Linked DNA regions of Astyanax mexicanus. The protein of the gene in region 1 binds, or shares a complex with, the protein of each later gene. Links are inferred from orthologs where the notes say so. Each region holds a gene or a part of one and is shown in the gene's direction. Other genes may lie near its edges.

Region 1 (7,836 bases):
TATGAGAAAATGAACCTGTCAGTGTCCTTAACAGCTGGATTCCACATTTTCATCAGTTTGTCTCAGACTACTCGCCTTCTGAAGCTTCGCAGAAATGTGGTGAAGCTCTCCTTATATCAGCACTTTACCAACACCCTCATATTCTCTGTGCTGGGTAAGTGCTATGTGTTTGCATGCATTTGGTAGCATTCGGGAATACGTGTTTAAAAGAATTGCCAATACAAGTAATAACAAGCCAAATGCATTATACTAATGTTCTACTTAATATTATACTTCTATATTATACTGTAGCATCTATCATTTTCATCGTATGGACCACCAAGCAGTTCAAGATTGTGGAGTGTCAGAGAGTGAGTAGGATATCGGTGAAAAACTCTTTCTAGTTTGTGATGTCTGTGGCTGAGATTGTGCTTTTGTTTTTGGTTCCTAAGGCTTGGAGAGAACTGTGGGTGGATGATGCTTTCTGGAGGTTGCTGTTCTCCACCATCTTGCTGGTGATTATGGTGCTACTGCGGCCCTCTGTCAATAGCCAAAGGTTAGCTGAATTACTGTGTATTATTGCAATGACCTTGAATGCATATGTAACCTTGAGTGATATGTAACCTTTCACACTGTCTGAAAGCTTGCATGATGTATCTGTAACTTATGAGTGTAACTAATGAAAAATGACCATATTCTTTGCATAGATTTTCCCATTCGCCCCTTATTGATGAGGAAGATGATGAGGATGATGAAGCGAAGGAACCTATGCTTAATGAAGCATTTGGTAAATATCAGTATATTGATAGAATTCGTTCAACCACAAAATACAAAAAAAGGAAATTCTGTTCTATACCCATAGTAGTATTTGTTTTGTTTATGTTGGACAAAAACATAGGGATGGGCAGTATATTACAACATGATGTTACTTATTTATTATGAAAAAAAATATTGTGACATTTGTAGCATTACAGATTGAATTCACACTCTCGATTAAAAAAGGAAAGGTGTTAATATTAAGGACAAATGGAGGAAAATAGCCCAAAAACAGATGAGAATCAAAACCTCCAAAAAACAAAACCTTAGATTCAAAATAAAAGCAAAAAGGGAGAAGAAAACAGAGAACCAGACAGAAACTAAAACTATGCAAAAGCACATGCTGAAAACTGTCAGAAACAGGAAAAATATGTCAATAACAGAAGATAGAAACAGAGAACAAGCTGATATAGTGCAACAGAAAATGAAAATCTGATATAAATATGTTGATCATGTTTGTCTATTGTCTATTGTTTGTTTATTGTCACATACATAGTCACACATGGTACAACTAGCAGTGACATAACAACACAAAACAATAAGATATGAATATAACACACACAGATGAAGTATAAAGAATGAAAAAATATACAAAGATGATTTAATGGTTGTTGTACAATATAGAGATCAGTTAGGCTTGTAATTCAGTAATTCAGAATGTGCAAATGTGGATGTTCAGAATAATGCTGTTCAACAAAGCAAGGAATTGTAGTGTTTGAGAGTCTGTATCAGACAAAACACATGTAGATATTTTTATTATGTTAATAAGATATTTTGCCCTCTTATTGTCATGCCCACCCTGCCCACAGTTTTTAAATGGAACAATGTCTCACGTGTTGCCATGTGCTCTGTTTTCAGAGGGAATGAAAATGAGAGGAGCAAAGTCAGACACACACGCAAGTCAAAAACTACTCGGCAAAGAGGTGAGAACTTAATATCCATGTTACACATACTTCTATGATGGTTGACCGTCACCTCACTTTTCTTTTCTTTCCTGTTCCGTGTTCTTTAGAGCTCCCAAGATGATGACCTGAAATGGGTGGAAGATAACATTCCTACAACTGTAGTCGATGTGTGAGTAGAGCTCCACTAACACCTTGCACAATATAAAGATGTTACCTACAATTAAACAATTAAATTCTACAACCATAGAAATAACCCTAGAAAATATGAATCCTGGTATGGAAAAAGCATAATTTACTCTCCCAAAATATGTCACTTTGTATAACGCTACCTACAGGACTATGAATACTGTGGGGAAAAAAAGAGAGAAAATGGTGGCATTACTCATGCAGCAGTGTTGACCGGTAGCTGTAAATTCTCAAGCAATGATTTCTTTACCAAGAAATTATATTGTCTAGTTAATTTTATTCTTTGGTGTCCAGTCTTTGTCAGGTTTTACGTAGTTCAGATCAAACACAATTGACTCTAATATTTAACTGCTTCTCAAGGCCTCCATTATCTGGGTCAGGTGTGTTAGCATTGGAGCTAAGGTCTGCAGGGCAGAATATCTACAAACTGTTGAAGCACTGGCCAGACCTGTGGTAAATCATTGTGTTTTGCTATAGGAAGTGAACCTATTTATTGTGATTCTAATTGAGTGCAACGCTTCCCTCTTTTTACAGAGCTTTGCCTGTGGTGTTGGATGACGAAGAGGTAAAGTGACTGCTTTTTTTGTGTCTCATGATCATGGTCACATTTTTACTCATTATATGCTCACAGTCAGATGATTCACAGTAGCATTACTCAACAGGCCTTAATCTTGTATGTGTCTGCCCACCCTTCCTCCTAACAGGAAATTCTAAACACCAGGATGGAGAGATCCAAAATGGAGTAGGCTTCATGCAGGTGCATAAAAGCAAGATATTTATTCCTCCAGTTCAGCTGAGAACTTATAAAGTGATGATAAATGTCACTCAGTTGAAACCCTTGGTTGGAGTACTGTGTTTTCATTTGAGACAGTTTCTGGTCTGGGGCAAAATGTGGAAATATGTCTCAGGCTAAATGTGAAATCTGTCAATCTTCTTTGCCATTTCTTATTGTTTTTGTTGGGTATTTTGCTGGGATTCTATTTGTGCAACTTTTCTTATTTAAGTATTTTTGTGCTTTCTTTAAGCATGTGGACAGATTTAATTTTGACTCAATACCATCCAAACCTTTTTAATAACCTAATCAGTACTTATACCTTAATGTCATTACCAGTTCCTAAACAATACTTTTTCCAATATCTTGTTTCAAATTACAAACAGAAAGTGGATGTGGCTTAAAACTGCAAGAATGTACAAACAGATTGTATGTTAGACAATCTGCAGTTATATTTGGTAACATGTGGACTAATTGGTTCAGTGCTGTTGATTACATTCGCTTCTTAGGTATTCAAGTTTGGCATTGCCAATACTCTCTCAAGTATTGATATTGTTCAGTCCGTGCCATGAAAGTATCTAACTACGATAACCAATCCTAGGTTTGACTTTTCATCTTTTTTATGCCTGATTAGAAGGCAGATTGCATAACATTTCAACACTGGCTATGGGTGTCTACAGTTGGGTTCAATTATTTTGGGAAAGAATTTGACACAGCTTGTCTTTTTTGTGTATAAGATCACTTGAAATTACACATTTATTAAGCATTTAATTATATGCATATATTTATGTTTTAAAGTTAATCATTCTTACATAAAAGATTTGTGGAAAGATATATTTTTTGTACATCAAATGCTTGTTAGCTTGTTTCTTTTTTAATTGCCTTAGCTTTACTGGTGACATGGGAAGGGGGTGTTGTGTTTGTCTCTGTTGAGGTTTGGCTGAAAAATAATAAAATTTACTTTGACTTTTTAATCATTGTGCTTTTGTTGACTGTATATTCATCACTATACACACTAATATATGTTAGAACATACGTGTTTATATATACTGTACATTAATGCTGAGCTCTAATGGGGAAAAAAGATGTTAAGAATTATGTTAATGTATTCAGAATCCACCAATTATGTATTTTAATTCAGTTTGTTACGTTTGGAAAAGAAATTAAACACTGAAAGATAAAATGGTGCTTAACAATGTTGCTATGGCCTGTAAATAATCAGCTAAATACTATATTCAGTTCAGTTTTAACATATTTACATTTAGCATATTTACCAACTTACACAAAATAATTTCATATAGCTGTAATGACTGTCTGTTGGGGTGTTTAACAATAAGTGAGTTGATGAAAAGAGGCATTCTTGGTCATACTTTACTTTAAACATATCAATAAAATATTACACGAAGAAACACTGCAAACCAAACACAGCATAACATGTGTATGTCTGTATGTATAGGCTGAGGTGTAACGTGTAATTCGGCTCTCGTGAGCTTTGACGTATATCACGTGCCTGTCACGGCGCTGAAAGCGTTCACACAGCTGAGCGAGAGTCACGGGGAGTTTGATTCAGTCTAAGGAACCGATTCTTTCCAAGCCTAAAATTCTCGAAGCCTCAATTCCTTCATATAGCTATAATTATATTTTGCTGGGTAGTTCAAAAATGTCAACATGATTTTTCAAGTCCAGAAACTTTTATTGTAATTTTATCTGAGTACAGTACAATGGAATTACGTTCCTTTATCTTGTACAATATAGACAACAAAAGGGCAAACCTGCCACAAACTGTTCAACATAGCTAAAATACTACAATAAATACAACAGACATGAGACATACTAATAAAATAGACAGTGCAGCACCAACAAAGTACTGTCTAAAAGTGTGTTTCAGAAACTAAAGTGGTCTCTTAATTTTTTTTTCCGGAGCTGTATATAGTAAGTAGTAGTGGAAAATGTCTCGTGTTATTCTAGTTCTTAAGTCAAACAAAACAAAACAAACAAAAACAGATTAAATAGACCATTTGTTGCATTGCTTCTTTAATATTATTTTAATCATAATTAATGAATACAATAGTAAATTCAATCCGCTTTGTTCTGTGTGTGACTTTGTGAGTGTGTAATGCAGTTGAACCAGTTCGGTCTGTTTACTGGAAGGAATCGGTTGAAATGAATGAATCGTTTACGAGTCGGTCACAGCTCTTTGCGAGTTGGCTAGCTAGCTAGCGAGCCTACAAACTGTCAACACCCCGAACTGGCCTGTTTTACCGGGGGTTTGGTGTTCTCTGGGAATAGCTAGGGGGTTCCGAGGTTGGCACGAACTTATCTGAGTCGGAATATGGGATGAAATGTATTTAGTTCAGTTGTGGCTTTGTTGACACTCGGACTAAAGGAGCTAGCTAGCGTTAGCCATGGCAGCTCTATACAGCAGCGCTAGCTAGCTAACTAATTAGCCGCGCCGCTAGCGCTCACTGTACCCGTGATATATTCACTTTCTGACGCTGTCACACTTTTTACATTCGTGGTGGAAATACGGGAGATGGAGCAGAAGGGTTAGCCGAAAGTTTAATTAGAATTAGTGGGGTTGTGTAACTGGTATGTGAGCTCTGAGCACTGTTGCTGTGAGCTAGGGAACGATAGCTAGGCTCGATAAGGGCTTATTTTCAGTTCATCAGCTTCCCGGTTCGCAGATGCCACCTAAACCTTACAGTTCCACTTTTCTTTAAAGTCGTTTTATTTTCTAGCTTTTTGATTGCTAAATCTGCCGCCATGCATGACGCCTATGAGCCCGTACCTATTTTGGAGAAGTTGCCCCTACAGATCGACTGCCTTGCGGCCTGGGGTAAGATTGATCTTTATCCTTGTGGGAATTTGTGAGGAAATGCTACAACTATCAGATAGCATTGCTCATCTGCTTATCGTCTGCTTCCCTTGCTTCAGTTGCATTTGATACTGTAGCTAAAAGGTTTTCCCAGTTCATTAACACAATTAAACAGACGTTGTGTTTAAACCACCTATGTTGAAAATGTTCTACAATATGTTCATGTTGTTTATGCAGAGGACTGGCTGCTTGTGGGTACAAAACCAGGCCACCTCCTTCTCTACAGAATCAAGAAGGATGCAGGTAGGACATTAAGAGGCATAAGACTCTCTGATTACTTTATTTATAATTTTTAATTCTGTCTCTTTTGATCTCACTTCATACAGGTACGAATAGATTTGAAGTAACACTTGAGAAATCCAACAAGAACTTCTCAAAGAAGATACAGCAGGTATGCTTGTTTCTGTCTAAAAAGGCACTTGACATTTTGGGTCAGTTTCCCAGGGAGAGATTAATTTAGGTTGTGGACTATATTTCCTTTTTGAATGGAAAGTCTCTATTCAAAATGCTATGTAGTTTAGTTGTTGTTTAGTGTTGTTTTACATGCACATTTCAAATAAAAATGAATATAGAAGTGAATTATACTTGTCTTTAAATCTACTTACCACTATACAGCAATGGTGGGAAGTTGCAGTCTTGGGGGTGCTGGATTCCTGCTTTTTTATTTTTCTTGCATAAGTACTCCTAACTCAACTCACTTGTTAACTGCCAAGTTTAGAAGGTTTGTTACAGCAGGGAAATGTGGTTTGCCCATCTTTGTGCAGGAGTATGTGTGTTTACAACAAATGTAAGGATGGTTACCTTTTTCCTTTTGGCTGGAGTGCCCCCTTTAATATAAACATGTGACTTCTGACAATTCTCTTTTCCACCACCAGCTGTATGTTGTTTCCCAGTACAAGATTTTGGTCAGTCTGCTGGGTAAGACTTTACGTTTATTTTGTATACTGTTGTTATTGAATATGTGTTCTCACTATAAATTTTGCTTTAGCAAGTTTCAGTAGTGTTAACACACTGTGCATCATGTAATAATCAGTTTTGTATCCTTGTTTGTTTCAGAGAATAACATCCACGTCCATGACCTACTCACTTTTCAGCAGATTACTGTTGTATCAAAGGCTAGAGGAGCTACACTCTTTGCTTGTGACTTGCAGGTCTGTATGGATGTGCGCGTGCGTGTGTGTGTGTGTGTGTGTGCTGTTGTCAATCATGACTCATGACTCTGCTGTTGTCAATCATGACTCTAAATCTTTCCTGCACATTGAATAATTCATTGTATTTATTAAACTACATAATATAACCAGTGTTGACAAACCAGTCTTTATTAATACATATTTCCCTCACATTCTTACTGCATGAAGTTGAGTTTTCTTGTGCCTTCCTTAGCAAACCTCCTCCGGTGAAGCAAAATTGCGGATGTGTGTTGCTGTAAAAAAGAAACTACAGCTGTACTACTGGAAAGACAGGGAGTTCCATGAGCTGCAGGTAAGTTTGAAGGTGGTAATTTATTAATTGTCTTTCTGATTAAATAATGTCATATTGCTGTTTCTTAAAAATGTATTGTGTCTTGTAGGGAGATTTAGCAGTACCAGATATTCCCAAGTCCATGGCCTGGTGTGAAAATTCCATATGTGTTGGTTTCAAACGTGATTACTACCTGATTCGAGTATGTTGAATCCATATTTTTAAAGTGCATTTATATATTTTTTAAATAGCTCAGCGAAAAAGAATCTGATTTACCCAGTTTCTATTCTTACCCCAAAGTAGCTCCATCCAAGACATATTTGGTATGTTTGTTCTGGTTCTGCAGTTTAGTGCTGCAGCTATGAGCTAACATTACATTAAAAAATATTTTACCTCTTCAAACCATATCTCAACCTTCTTTAAGGTTGCGCAAATCTAATGATTTAATTTAGGACGCACTATGACTTACTGTCAAAAGGATCATAACAAACAGTCATTGTGTTTAAATAGGTTTCTCTAGCATTTAGTTACTTTGTTCATTGTTATTGTTTATAGAAACCATATTGTGCTATAAACTAAATCAAGTATTCTTATTGATGACCTGGATGCACTTTAAGATAAATTTTTATTATTCATACAACATTAGCATTGTATATGAGTGCACAAACACAGAAGCAACGTGTGAACACCAAACATGTTAGATAATTGCAATACACTACAATACAATACGATACACTTATATAAACTTATAGTTTATAGTTTCCTTAAAATTTGTCTTGCATTCCACATTGGCTCTATTACAAGTACATTATCATACACACATTTAGACAAACATTATAACT
Region 2 (7,776 bases), on another chromosome or scaffold:
AATGCTGGATCAGAAAATGAATTAAATCCAACAATATTAGAATTGCTGAAATATCACACACTTACAATGTGTGGTGTTTTATCTGTGTTTAATAATGTTTTTATAGTGTTGGTATTTCCTTTTGCGAATAACATTTTTATTTTATTTACAATAATTTACAACAGTTACACACCAGTACACACACACTTCTCTCATACATTCACATAAACATACTGTACACATAATCACTTACAGTATAACTACTGGAGGTAAACAATAGTCCCACACCCATTTTCAAATATGATTCTTCACAAACCAAATAACATCTGGCCAGATTCTAACCGTTTTTAAAATAGCTTGGCTGTAGAACGCTCCAGAATCAAAATGCCTAAAAAATTACTGTAGCCGAACGTTCCTCAACAGAATATTATGCAATATAGCATACAAATATACTATAAATAATAATAAGAAGAAGAAGCATAAGAATCTTCTTTTATATTTGTTACAAATAAATACCAGAATCATTACCTAATAACAAAAGTGCTGGACAGTGTTGGTATTTCAAATTTTCAATTATAAAGAAAAATGCATCTCTATTTATAACTTGGATGCATAATTGGATGCAAATAATAATTAAATAAATAGCCTATGTTGTAAAAGCTTGCATGGAACTTCAAATCAGCATCCCTGGTCAAATGGTACATTTTGTTAATTTTCTAAAAGTAAATACATCCTTTTTATTTTAATGAAAAATATTTTCTGTCCCTTTTAGAACCAGTTCCCATTTCTTTTTGTAGAACCAGTAGTAGAACCAAGAAAAAGTATCCTATTTATAGTGCATCTATGGTATTTATAGTGTATCAAATTTTGCTTAACTTTGGAAAGCCGGTGAGTTTTTCCAAAAGTCCAAAAAAAACTAAATGTTTAAAACATACTGAAAATAATTTTAAATCACAGACTGGATTTTTTATATTTCAGTAACAATGTTCAATTTCGTTGTGTCGAACAATAATGTCTTTAAAGCATCAATTCTTTTAAAAGTCAGAGTTGTCTTAGACGAACATCACAGGTATAAAATCCATGTAGTAAAAAGAAGTGGAAAAGGAGTGAATAATTCAGCAACAGCCTAAAGGTAGACTGACCAAAGCCAATGATGTGGTAAGCAGGGGAGCACTATGCTTCTGCTCATCAATTATTAGCAGTTATACTAAGGATAATGCATTGATGAAGTGACCCCGACTTCAGAACCTGAGGGCTCTTCAAGTATTTACCACGCTGTTTGCCAGGAATATAATACAGATGAAATCTACAGCTATAATGGATGAGTGGACATTAACGCGGTGTCGAACGGTGCAAAAAGCACTCTCTGAAGTAGCTCATAAAACACAGACGAGACTGATAGTGTATTCTGTACGAGGCCGGGGTCTGCGCTACGAGATAAGCCTGTGTGTTTCATCTAGCATTTTTCCTCAGATCCTGTCTTGTTTACCACATGTACTAGATTTGGTCACCACCGCCTTTAACAGACATTACAGGCAAGAGTGTAAAAGTCTGACCTCGCAACAATTCAAAGGGAAACCATTCAATATATCTTATATATTTACATTTCAACTACCATTAATGTATGAATGAAAAGTGTGAGCCCAGATGGCATTAGAGTATTACACATCAATTCTGACAAAACACAGTTTGACACAATAAAAACATATTTTCCATGTCTAATTATTGAAAATTATAAAAAATTGTATTTATTATTAATTGTAATTGTATTGATTATTAATATAGTTATCATACAACACTGAAATGACTTGTGTAGGTGTAGCTCACTTACATCACACCTACATCATACACTGGAAAACAGCATTATGGAAATTGCCTTTTTCCTAAATTGAATAAATATTATGGCACTATTACTTGTTTGCTATTACTTGTCAACTTATTGTTTGCAGTATTTTATCTTCTCCATGAATCACCGGGATCTGATCTCACTCTGCATGATCATATACACTCACACAATACTTGTAGACCTACATCTTCATACAGTTGTTTAATCACCCTTCATTATATCAGTGGAATAAAATGTTCTTAAAATGACAATAATATTGTTTGTTGCAATTTTTGTGGGATAATATATTGTCCAATAAAAACATTTATTGTGCCAGGCTTATTCTTTTCTTATCTTTTTTTATCAAAACATTATTTTAACAACATTACATCACTTGATATGCCTCTTCCATGCATGTCTCATTGTATCAGTTGCTGTTTAGAATCTGCTTCAGACACAATTTGTCTACAGTACAGCGAGGCAATGGGAAATCTGCCCAACAGCCACGAACTGAAGGGTGCCAACTTTTTGTGTGAGATGTGTTGGCCATGTCTGCAAGAATCATCGCTACATCATCTGCAAATGCTGCCAGCAGTGATATTTGTCACTCAACACAATTTTAGCTTAAATTCCAGCAAGTCAATAAATATATATAAACATACTGTGTATGTACAGTAAATTTTACATCCTACTGAAGATTTTACATTAAAAATTATGTTAAAGATACAACTGTGAAATGTGATGTGAGTCATGTTATCCCTTTCATGCATTTTTGTAGTTTTTGGGTCATACATTCCAGACTTAAATAAGAATAAGAACAAAGCTAAAACTTTGATTCAGATTTAATCTGAATTTTGCATTCAATGTATGGGTCTAACAAACCAACATGCCATAGTATGCCCTCAATCCCAAACAGCAGTTTCCATATTGTGGCCTGTATTTCCTGTATATGAATATGGTAACCCTGCCTCTTGGCCTGCCACACCACATCAGCATAATCATGTAAGACGTATTGACAGCCTGTCGCAAATGATCCTATCCCACGGCCGTGTATGGCAGCGGTCTGTTACGAATCAAAATGTAAGAATGTCTAAGTAAATCTAATCAAATGTCCCGTCCTCTCAAACGCATAGGAATAAGCTTGGGGTGAGGGTATAAAAATGACTGTTTCTCCTCCGGGTCATTAGGATTATACAGACAGGGATGCTGAATATTCGGACAGTGTCATGGAGCCTGATGTACACTTACCTGGGGATGAATCATGATTAACTCTGAATGATGACCTCTTTTTGCATCTCCTCAGAATCAGGCAAGGCACATGCCCAGACCCTTAAAGGCCTACTAAAAAAGCATAGCATAGATATCATAATGTACACAATTTAAACACTGAATTTAGAGGATTAGTTAATAAATCAAACACTAAACCTTGAGCCTTCAGCATGTGTATAAGTGCCTTAAAAGTTTTATATAATTCTGCTTATGTTGTGCAGAAATGACAATCAGTCAACAGTAAACTAAACCTGGATTCTTATGTGAACGTTTTATTCCACATAAAGATGTTAAGACGGGGTGAGACGTTAAGTCCAAGCGCCTAAAAATGCAACTTACAGCCTGAAGCCTGTGTGTTGCCACAGCACCAGCTAAGGTAGAATGGTAAATTAGCAGTATTTAATGTAAAATAGTACATTAGCAGCATTTAAGGTGAAATGGTAAATTAGCAGCATTTAAGGTGGAATGGTAAATTAGCAGCATTTAAGGTGGAATGGTAAATTAGCAGCATTTAAGGTGGAATGGTAAATTAGCAGCGTTTAAGGTGAAATGGTAAATAAGTAGCATTTAAGGTGGAATGGTAAACTAGCAGCATGTAAGGTGAATTGATAAATTAGCAACATCTAAGGTGAAATGGTAAAGTAGCAGCATTTAAGGTGGAATGGTAAACTAGCAGCATGTAAGGTGAATCGGTAAATTAGCAACATCTAAGGTGAAATGGTAAAGTAGCAGCATTTAAGGTGGAATGGTAAACTAGCAGCATGTAAGGTGAATCGGTAAATTAGCAACATCTACGGTGAAATGGTAAATTAGCAGCATTAAGGTAAAATTGTAAATTAGCAGCATTAAGGTAAAATTGTAAATTAGCAGCATTCAAGGTGAAATGGTAAATTAGCACCATTCAAGAAGGACTGGTAATTTTGCAGCATTTAAGATGGAATGGTAAATTTGAACGATCCAACTTCTTCATGGAAGAGATTTACTGAAGGCAGCTACTCACACATGCTGGTAATGCTGATTGAACAGCTTCGCCTTGTTGGTCATGCTGGTCAACCATTATTTTGTCGAAAATATAGTATTTACGAGATCCGAGCACATAAACGCCACCACACACTCATATTTGCCAGTGGGAAACTCAGATTGTTAGATAAGCCTAGAGTTTCCCAGTTGGGGGCGTGTCAGTAACAAGAGGTCAATAAATTGATGCAGACAATTTTGTAAACTGTATTGTAAACTGTAAACTGTTTATATTTCTGTTATTGCTACAACACTTCAACACTTGCAGGTTGTTATTAGCTAACCAATTAAATCAGTTGCAATACATTAAAAAAATGAATGATTCACTGTTCTAATGGGATAAAAACATCACTTACCTGAATTTCCGAGGAGAATTGAAGGTAGCAGAACAGCATGGTCATGGTGGGCATGCTAGTCAACCAGCATAATTAATCCTGGTTTAAGTATGCTGGTTGTTGTTACTGGTGGTCTCGCTTCTTCAGTTTGATCATGCTTGTCAGACACAAACATACCATATGCTGTTAAGCCATATCAAGCCAAGTATTTTTTCCCCAATGAGGATAAGAAATACAGAGAAATATTTTTTTTGAGGAGCAATACCTTTGGTCGTCTTACAAGCCAACTCTCAGAAAGCATGAGTGGGATTAAACTACATTTCCCAGCATGCCCCTGCTCTTTCCTTGTGTTGTTGTCATGTGACCGTGCTCATGACTAGTGTCAAAATGCTGCAGCTGCTTTGCTTTAGCTTAAACTGAGGATTTTACTGTGTTTTTACGGCTAAGAAGAGGTGCAGTTTAACAGGAGAGCTCGGTCACGGCTCCCTTTCGCCTTTTCTTCACATTATAAGATTATAAACGGAGAGTTTAGTGTAGAAACCGGATTTCTGCGGCGCCTGTTTCCTCTTACTGACGGATACTAAGGCTAACGCTAGCGGTTAACACTAGCTTAGCCATGTCGGAACTGGAGGAGAAGGTGAGCGTTCAGTTTAACTACATTACATTACAGACTGTTTCACCGAAAATACGCGATTAATGTGCTTATTGTGTGAACTGTTATTACGGTGACGTATGGACAATGCTAGTGTCAACAGTTTCCCCTGACTGTCTTCATATCAGCTCTTAGCTTCAGCTCATTACTAGTTATTATTATTATGGTACCACTACTACTAGTAGATCCTATTTATGTACATTTACACGTCTATATCCTATATAGACACTGATGTGTGTGGTAGCGCTAGTAATTTTTCTATTCACTTAACTCTTGCTAGACTAACTAGGTAATTTAACTGAGCTAGATTTGAATGGGAAGCTAAGACTGTGTCTTTTTTTCCAGGAGAGAAAACCAAGTGAGGAGTCCACAGATGATTCAGAGGTAAGATTTGGATTTAGGGAGCATATTATATAAACAAACCCTTGTTTACTTTGAGTTTAAATACAGTAATCAGTTATTATTAGGGCTGTCAATGTTAAGGCGTTAATGCATGCGATTAATTTGGAATCAGTAACGTGTTATTATTTTTTTACAAAAATTAAATATGCCACCAAGTTTCACCCCAACTTCTGCCGTAATCTGCACTGCCCAGCGCACAGATTTCTTTTTTCTGGACTGATCTGTTGTGGAGAGATCATGATCTAGTCTCAGTCCAACCCAGCTATGAAATATACTTATTTTTAATTGAGTTAACTGCTGATAAGGCACAGTTTACACACGCAATAATGTGCAGCGTTCACTGCTCACACCTGTGTTGCACGTCCCATTGAAAAAACTGTGTTTAAAAGCGCAGCTCCAGCACCAGACAGCTCTGGCCAATCAGAGGAGACATGTGCTTGTGTGGTTTATTGGTGAGCATTTTGGTGCACAGGTTTATGCCTGTGTGAAACCAAACCAAACAGAGGAAGAGTAAACAAACTCATCAACTGATCCAGAGCATAGAAACAAACTACAGATGTAAAAAGGCCTTTTTATACTCAGCAAATTAAATTCTAATTTAGAATTCCTTACAATCAAGCTGAGATGTTTCAAAAAGTAAAAAAAAGTTTTCTCGATCCAATTCATCATGCATTATTCATTCCAGCGCTCCATATTGGCTTTATCTCCCCTCAAACATACAAGTATATACTAGTATTTTAATTGACACCACTAATATAAATATAATTGCATTTTACATTTTCTACATTCATTATTTTATTTACTTTTAAACATCCACTATAAAATCTTTATTAGGGCCGGGAAATGTATTGTAAATATCTATACAGTATTTTTGAAAGTATTTTGCACAACATAAAAAGAAAATACCATAATGTATTGCATCTGAGTGTGATTTAAAAAAAAAAAACACATTACTGTGTGGAAATATGATAATGATAATGATATCATCCAGCCCTATCTTTCAGTTTAATAAATCCTACCCTTAATTGACAATTCGTTCTCTAAATGTAGCTAAACAAAGGGAATCATTTATTAAACAGATTGGTAGGAGTTGCTTCATGTATGAAGAAATTATTTATTAAATTAAAGGAATGATTTAAGTCTCTAAATAATTTCTCTACCTTGATACTTTAAAAGCTTCATACAGTGCAACACTTTCTAATACAATATTTGTGCTATGTGTGAAGATGTACCATAAGTACACTTATATTGGAGGTTATTTTTAATATATAGACATATAACAGTTTGTATTCACATTTAATTCATTTAAGTAAAATGTCTCTGTCAAAAGTTACAATAGCCACATATACAGCACTATATTGTACTGTATTTCACGGTTCAGTGTGATTTAACATATTAAGTGTTACAATATTGATTAAAGTGCATTAAGTGTAAATTAAAATAAAACATTCAAGCCAACGAATTAAGGCAGAATGTCTCTCCCTGAAGCAGTAACTTCCTCTTTACCTCTTAATCAAGAAACTTCCTTTTTATCAAAAAATGAGAGTTGGTAGGTAAAGCACCCTGTCTCATGCTGTGGCTAGCACAGAATGTTAGCATAATACATTTAGAATGTTGAATGCTGGCCATAGCATTGTATTAAGGCAGTTGTACTTCGGACTACACAAGTAGTATCATCAGTTTTCATCTAAATATCCTTAGGATATCAATGACATTTCAAAAGTGATTTTTGCAACTTCTAGTCCCCTATTACGCAATGCTACTTGTTTATGTACTTCCTCTAGGTTACCTAAATCCAACCATCTTTTTGTAATGAGCTGTAATGGTCACAGACTATTCAGTTGTTCCAGCAAAGCATCACACCAGGTGATTGGTGAAAAGAGCATTACTTTGATTACTTTGCTTTCTTTAAATAATTTTCAGTTTGGTTACTTTGGTCTTGAAATGTTTAAAAATATGAATTTATGGAATAATCTTGCATGAAGCCTATTATTACAAAAACACAAGGAACACAATTAATTACCTTAAAAGCTCTTGATAGTTTACAGCATAAGGTTAGTGTTCATTTAAGTTTAGAGGAGGTATAACATTTCAAAAATGTGAACACAGTTATTCACTGGAGTTTAAACTTGGAACTTGCCTACCTATTTATAAGGGTGTTTTTTCCTGGGTGTGTCCCAGTTCATTAGCTGGGGCAGCGGTAGTGTATATGACTGCTACACTGATGACATGGGTTCAATCCTGCCTAAGGATCGGTGTATTTTATTTATTTTTCCTTTCTTCTTGGGTTTACCTGC

What was found.
Region 2: vps39 (region 1) and vps41 share a complex: the UniProt entries of both Homo sapiens proteins name them as parts of the homotypic fusion and vacuole protein sorting (HOPS) complex. The link is inferred for Astyanax mexicanus from reciprocal best matches to the Homo sapiens genes VPS39 and VPS41.

Annotation. Positions count from the first base shown.
Region 1 is NC_064421.1:20,441,319-20,449,154, reverse strand, and holds the start of vps39 (vam6/Vps39-like protein), read left to right. Parts: upstream 1-4,830; 5' UTR 4,831-5,421; coding exon 5,422-5,494; intron 5,495-5,710; coding exon 5,711-5,776; intron 5,777-5,859; coding exon 5,860-5,924; intron 5,925-6,408; coding exon 6,409-6,451; intron 6,452-6,589; coding exon 6,590-6,684; intron 6,685-6,916; coding exon 6,917-7,015; intron 7,016-7,103; coding exon 7,104-7,196; intron 7,197-7,836. Other genes in the region: transmembrane protein 87A, read left to right, coding at 48-154, 292-350, 432-535, 687-766, 1,654-1,718, 1,808-1,869, 2,421-2,451, 2,591-2,632. UniProt on the Homo sapiens protein: Regulator of TGF-beta/activin signaling, inhibiting SMAD3- and activating SMAD2-dependent transcription.
Region 2 is NC_064408.1:103,282,613-103,290,388, reverse strand, and holds the start of vps41 (vacuolar protein sorting-associated protein 41 homolog), read left to right. Parts: upstream 1-4,775; 5' UTR 4,776-5,041; coding exon 5,042-5,062; intron 5,063-5,422; coding exon 5,423-5,461; intron 5,462-7,776. UniProt on the Homo sapiens protein: Plays a role in vesicle-mediated protein trafficking to lysosomal compartments including the endocytic membrane transport and autophagic pathways. Acts as a component of the HOPS endosomal tethering complex.